Rattus norvegicus: one gene and its partner. The protein of the gene in region 1 purifies or fractionates together with the protein of each later gene. This does not show direct contact. Links are inferred from orthologs where the notes say so. Each region holds a gene or a part of one and is shown on either strand. Other genes may lie near its edges. The genes, in order: Fmr1 and Tdrd3.

What was found.
Region 2: the proteins of Fmr1 (region 1) and Tdrd3 purify together in Homo sapiens (affinity purification with mass spectrometry; 4 studies listed by BioGRID and IntAct, with this or other methods). This does not show direct contact. The link is inferred for Rattus norvegicus from reciprocal best matches to the Homo sapiens genes FMR1 and TDRD3.

The regions. Positions count from the first base shown.
Region 1 is NC_086039.1:152,301,879-152,305,710, forward strand, and holds part of Fmr1 (fragile X messenger ribonucleoprotein 1), read left to right. Parts: intron 1-1,654; coding exon 1,655-1,825; intron 1,826-1,941; coding exon 1,942-2,020; intron 2,021-3,832.
Region 2 is NC_086033.1:69,878,818-69,882,313, forward strand, and holds part of Tdrd3 (tudor domain-containing protein 3), read left to right. Parts: intron 1-53; coding exon 54-170; 3' UTR 171-178; exon of another isoform or gene 179-179; intron 180-3,496. UniProt on the Homo sapiens protein: Scaffolding protein that specifically recognizes and binds dimethylarginine-containing proteins. Plays a role in the regulation of translation of target mRNAs by binding Arg/Gly-rich motifs (GAR) in dimethylarginine-containing proteins.

The DNA of each region.
Region 1 (3,832 bases):
GGTGCATTTTATCTACTTTTATTAATTCTCCAATAATTGTCATCACCATGCATTTACTTTCATTGATAACTATCTAGTACTTCCATTCATTACCATAGAAACTAAATAGGTTTTGTTTTAATGTACCAACTCAAGTAGGTTACTGTCAATTTGAAGAGTCCCTCATATTTATTCATTAGGGGAAATCATCAGTTGCTATAGCAAAAGAAAGGGGCAGTTTCAGATTTCTATTTAAGAAAAAAGGTAGTCAAGACTGTGAAAATTGCCACTTTTCAACTTGTTGTGTGATTGATGAACTCTTAACAGAAAAGGAAAATTTTACTTGTATGCCAAATGGCTGTTGAGGTCTGTTTGATTGGTGTTTGTTTGTTTATTTGTTTTTGATCTCATTCTTTCTTGATGTCCCCCATGTTCACACTTTTGTGGTTTAGTGATTTTCTCATAACTTTTAGGCCACAGCAGCCTTCTTAATTTCATTGTGAGTATTATGAACTCATATACCTCTTCTTAAGCATCTAATTCTTCTTGAATATCCTTTGCTATACCTTTGGTTTACATGTATCCATAAATTAGCAATGGGAAGAAGGAAGCAGGGTAATGAATCAAGATCTAAAAATGTGACTTCTTGGAAAATCCTAGAAGATTTTGTGTACTTACTACCATTACCTTTAAAACAATTATTATTCTTTTAAACTTGTTTACATTAGATATATTCATTCATTCAAATTATCTGGTGTGTTGAATAATGATATGTGCATGCCTATTTTCTTCACTACTAATATTAAAGAGGTTCATAAATCCTTATAAAAAATACCCATTTTTCAACATGAGCCACTAATCTGTTTAGTTTTCATTAATGGCATGCTAGAACTAAACATTCAATTTTGATATGCTTCTTAAAGACAGTGATTATCCACATATGTGAGGTATCATTGGAACTTCGTTTTGTCATTGCTGAATATTAAAGAGTTCATCAAGCTTTTATGGATTCAGATCACAAAGTCTTACAGACTCTGAACATATAAGTAATGAAAAATTGCGATTTCGATATTCTGGGATTGTTCTCTTAACTGCTAAACCACAAAGTTTTAGGATTTTTTTTCCTTGTGTTTGGGGAGTACGGGGGTGTTGTCTTAATGCCACATTTCAACAGAAGGATGTTTAGATCCACCATACCTGGTAACATATTATGAAAATGTCACCATTTCTAGAAAAAGTATTTATATATCCATTGTAAGTGCAGTAAATATTTTTTTTATTTAAGATACATTTTTATTTGTTACTTAAATTAAATTGAGTCTGTCAGACCAGGTGAGCTATTTTTAATTGGGAATATTTTGTCTGCTCCTTAATTATTACATTGTGGATATCATTGATTAACAAAGGCAGCCTTGCAAATAGGTTTACAAACATAACCTTGAAAAACTGTCAATAAGCTCTTTTCTGTTAATAACAACAACAATAAAACCTTTTAAATGGCATAGACCTTCAGTAGCCTCAAAAGAACTTATGTATGATTCTAAAATTAGTTTTTCTATTGTAACAATTTATAGGACCCTGATATATAGGGTCAAGATAATTTACATGGCTGGCCTAAATGAAATTGACTTAATAATTGGTAAAACAAGTTAATCACTTGTGCATTTCTCTTCAGAGTTCAAGGCAGCTTGCCTCAAGATTTCATGAACAGTTTATCGTACGAGAAGATCTGATGGGTCTAGCTATTGGTACTCATGGTGCTAATATTCAGCAAGCTAGAAAAGTACCTGGGGTCACTGCTATTGATTTAGATGAGGATACCTGCACATTTCATATTTATGGAGAGGTAAATATTTCACTATAAAATCCAATTGCCGCCCCCTCAGAGAAGCAAATAAACAGTATTTCAAATGCCAATTTTTTTTTGCCTTGATACTACACCCACTCACCCTTCTTTATTAGGATCAAGATGCAGTCAAAAAGGCTAGAAGCTTTCTGGAATTTGCTGAAGATGTCATACAAGTTCCACGAAATTTAGTAGGTAAGTCAAAAATAACTATTGATATATACCACAAAAAATAAAATTCTAGTACACAACTTCTATACTAAATTTCTTTTCATCACTGAAAAGTGTAATCTGATTGAAGCAGTCTTGGAAATGTAGCCTGTTCTTACAGTATATAGAAAATATATACTCCAAGATTATAGTTTTTCAGAAGATATACAAGAAATACTTTGTTAGCTCAGACTTATAAATGTCTGAAAGGATCATTTTTACCTAGCCTCAAACCATACTTTTTTTTTATCATAGCATTGAATGTTTTCCTTATAGTTTGGTGATATTTGATAAAATAATAGCATTTGTGTCAGTTATCTCTGAACTCAAGATCTGGATATGACTTGCTTAGACATAGTATTAACATTCCCAAATTATTCAGTTGTCTTTAGTAGAACAAACTAAAAACAGGCACAGGTGTACTTTTAAAAATATGTTTTGAATTTATAAATGATTTGGGGGTACATTCTTAATTCACTTATAAAAGAATAAAATGAACAAACTTTCTATGTATTTTATGTATATAGCTTAAAACATTCATAGGCTATATTTTGTCAAAATAGAATTGTAATATCTTCCAGCATGTCATTTAAAATTACGAGCCAATAGCCCAGCATTCTGGAAACAGAGGCAGATGCACAAAGATCACAAATTCAAGGATAGCATGGGTTAGGCATAGCAAGATCCTCACTCCAAAATGTGTCCAAGAGTCATGGTATTCTTTTTTTACCATTAATAAGTACAAATGCTAGTGAAACTAATTTACATGTATGCTACAACACAAGAATGTGAATGTAATGTTATCAACACACTACTCATTGTATAGATGGTACATACATAACACAGAATGAACTGACAATTGTGGCAAAAACATGTATGTACGTTAAAATTTATTTTGATGGTACTATAGTAGGTGAAAATGTTTATACATATTTGGTACCATTGTGACTTTGGGTGACTGATTTAGCTCTTGAGAGAAGAATATTTTCCCTTCACTTAATATGTATATCAATGTGGTAATTCATGGTCTAGTTGCTTAATGAGGTGTTGTTATTTGTAGTACTTAGCACAATTCTGGGCACAGAAGGAAACTCCATGTTCTCTTTCATTTATTCATAACTTCTTTATTTTATTACAGCAGACTTAGAGTAAATTGTTCTGTTGGAATTTGGAAGTAACTGCAATATATAAGATTAGATTAAATTACCAAAGAAGAACTTGGATTAAATGTAGAGGGTGTTTAAGGTTACTTTACACCAAAAAAAAAGCCCATTGCAGTCAATCAGTCCAATTGAGTTTTCTTTAGTTTATACTTAGTAAAACAAGAGAACTCTGGCTTGATGAGACATGCTGCAACACTAAGAGTACTGGGCTTGTTCAGAAATCAGTTTTTGTAAGGTTTGTCAGGAAGGAGTTCAGGGTGATATCTTAATCACTGTTACTTGAGTGTTCTCGAGTCTCACCTACTGACTGATCCAAACAGTAATCACAAGCCTTTTTCAGTATGTACACCAGTTTATCTTCCTGAAAAATTTGCTTGTTCTTTCTACACTTTGACAATGACACAAGTACTTAGGGTAGTTAAGATACTATCTTAATAGAAGCATACCAAAATCCTACTTTTCTTTATGCTAATTTACACCTTTATTAAAATCAACTGTCATGAGGATGTATGGATTTTACAGAAAAAAAAATTGGGAAGACTTCAGGTAGGTTTTTTTTGTATGTACTTACATTTCATTTGAAGAAGAGTAGAGCAGAAATAATAACAGAATAATCACAGATTTTAGATTAGAA
Region 2 (3,496 bases), on another chromosome or scaffold:
TTAGGAAAGTGGGAGCTACTTTGAAGATACTAAATCATTATTCTTGCAAATAGGAAGAAGAGGGTACCTATGATCACACCATTGAGTTCCGGAGAGGGGGTGACGGACAGCCTCGAAGGTCCACTCGGCCAACACAGCAGTTTTACCAGCCTCCTCGAGCTCGGAACTAATGTGAAAGGTAAGGCGACATTGCCAGATAGTTTTCATATAAAAAAGATGTACTTTGTGTTCAATACAAGTTCAGCTACTGATGTTTCATAATAATGCACATAGAAAAAGCCGATTTTGTGATTCAGCTTTCAAGTGACAGTGTGATTTGCCACTTTTCCACTAGCCTTTCCCCACAAATCCTTCTAGAAATCTATTGCTCCACTTCTGCTATGTTAGTTACTGCTCTGTTGTAAAGAAACACCATGACCAAGGCATTGCATAAATGAAACATTTAAGTGGGACCTTGCTTCAGAGGCTTTTAGTCTGTGACCATTGTGGCAGGGAGTATGACAGCCTGCAGTCATGGGGATGGAGCAGTAGCTGACAATTCACACCTGCTCCATAAGATACAGTCAGAGATGGAAAATGGACCTCAAAGTCCACCCATATGACTCACCTTCCTCAACAAACCTGTACTCATTCCAACAAGGCCACGCCTCTTAATCCTTTCCAAACAGTTCCTACTAACTGTGGACCAAGCAAACATGAGCAAACATTCTGGTCCAAACCACTGTACGTATTTTGTGTTCGTTCTCTCTCTCTCTCTCTCTCTCTCTCTCTCTCTCTCTCTCTCTCTCTCATAGTTTTATTATATTTTTTTGAGAATTTCATAAATGAATGCAGTATCTACCCCTGACTCCAGCTCCCCCTGTGTACTCCCTCCCTCTCTCTGAATCTCTCTCTCTCTCTCTCTCTCTCTCTCTCTCTCTCTCTCTCTCTCTCTCTAATGCTCTTCCCATCCCTTCTCTCTTTTCTGGGTTTTGCAGTTAATCTAATTGAATACTCACATCTGAAGATCGAGAACTAGAACCCACAGATATGTGAGAGCATGCCTCGTTTCTGAGTGCTCTTGTATGGTTTCATCTAGTTGAGCTTATTTAAGGAAGAGGTCAGAAAGACAACATGCCTCTTACTCAGTTGGAGGCTGTTTGCTTATCTAGAAGCATTCATACCTCTTTCAGAAAGAACAGCTGTCTAAAAATTATCTTTACTAGGGAGAAGGAGCAGGAAGGAGATTTAGGAAACTGTCTCAGACATCACATGCTTGACAAAGACCTTATTTTCTAATATGTTTCTAGAAGAAAATACTTTCACATTTGGCAAACAGCTTGTCTTCTTACTGTTTTCAGTCCATTCTGCTACTTTTGGAGAATTGAAAATGAATTTTCTATCAGGTATTTATTGTCCTATAGACTATTCTGGACTTAACTATATTTTTCTGTCTTCAGTAGCAAGAATGAGAAATTTCTAGGAACTCCTCAGTTCCTCATTTTACACTTAGTTCTGCCAAGGTTTTTAATCAGGTTCTCTTTTCTCCTGACCAGTAGCCAGCAGTGGCTATGGAATCCTTGAAGTCAGAGTGTTAATTGAGGTGTGATATGGGTGGAAGGAAAAAAAAATCAAAGAGGGGGGAAAAGGAAATTATCTCAATAATTTAATGTTGATCTAAGTTAAATAATGTTTTAAACATATTGAACTGTGACCAACATTTAAACTATTCACATTTCCCGAACTTCAGATGAATGCAGTGTTCCTGAGCCATGTGTCCTTCGGCTCCCAAAACTTACTTATGTCTGAAACTATTTACAGTATTCTAATAGAAACGCAGAACTTTCCTGACATTTAACTTCATATCTCAGTCAGCCTTAAGCAAAAGCCTAATGCTAATTGACTTCTGACCCTCAGAGCCAGCCAGTGTAGCTCTTTCCCTTTTATCACCACCTCCTCTTTGCGCTCAGAACAAGGCTATCAAGCAAACAGTTCTGACCCAGACGCAGATCAAAGAGGAGCTGCTGCATAACTCTGGGCATTTTTCTGTAGCATACAGGAACCAGTTCTCATGGTCTTTTTTAAAAAGCAGAATCAAAGTATATACAAGGATTTAAGGAGCTTATACACTGCAGAAGATTGAGTGTATACTCTTAAAATAAGTTCCTTGTGCTTACAATTAAATGACACTTTAAAGTAAATGAAAATAGAGATCTTTTTCCTACTTTCTGGGGATTTTTACATCACTTAAAACAGTTTTTAATGAAACTAAAGGTTCTGAGCGGGATGTGAGCTCTCTGGCTCTGCTGTTTGGGTTGATGGAGAGGGTTGGATGGCTGGAAGCAGTGGAAAGCTAGCACGCACCCAGTGGGGAGGGCTAAGTCCTCCCAGCCTCCCAGGAGTGTCTTTCATGTATTTTGTATGTTTAGGTTCCATGGAAATTTTTCTTTGAAAAAGTACACTGCTTAAAAATACATTATACACCATAGCCCTGAGGGTAATTTTGGCCTAACCATATCAAATCATACAATGCAAACATTTCCTAATCAACTTAAGTGTCATAGTCTTACTTTTCATGCCCCCTAAGTTAAAGCTTTCATCTTGGATGCTGGGGTACAGCTCTGGTAGAGCTTGCATACTTAGCATGTGGCAGGCCCTGAGTTCTGTGTTCTGCCATGAAGTAATATTAATAAGTCAGTCTTCCTCATGGTCCAGATGCTTGCTTGGCTTGGACTGTTTTCAGGGAAGAAAGGTGACACTGAAAATTTAGATTGTTGGTAATCGTATTCTGTATCATTGTAAAAACAACTTTGCTGTAAAGTTTACATAAAAGTAAAGTGAGCAAGACATGCAATGTTGGCTAGGAAGACTTGGCATTGTAACTCAGAAATACATCATCAAAGCCCATGTAATGTAATGAAATACTCCTGCCAAACGGTCTTAATGGGATGTTCAGAAGTGAGGTGCAGAAACTTCTGTTCTTGTCACAAAATTGAAAACTTTCCTTTTCACTTCCCTTATGTTTCTATTAATTTAAATATCCAATAAGAAGAGCATATTTGGTAGTCAGCTCTATGACTTTCCATAAATATAAATATAAAGTTATGTATGGTCAAGTACTATTTTTTTCTCAAAAATTATATAGGATGGTGAGAAATACTCTAGGCATTTCTGCTATCACTTCCAAAAATATAATTTTAAAATCCGTTCATTTATATTTGGATTGTGTTCCTGAAGTGTAAATTACATGGAATTTGAGTTAGGCATCTGCATGTTAGTTCCCAGGAACATTTCCTTGAACTCTCTATACAACCCTATTTCCTTCTTCTCCAGGATGGAGACACATTGGAGTCACCTGGGTCTTACCCTAAGGCCAGCACCAGAGACTCATGAAACACAGAGCTCAGAGGCAGGGCCCAGTGAGAGAAGGGAATCAGTGGAGTGAAAAGACAGCTCCAGGTGTGAGGAAAAGTGCTGATAAATCAGGCCTGAGATTGGAGGGGAGCTGTTAGCCTAG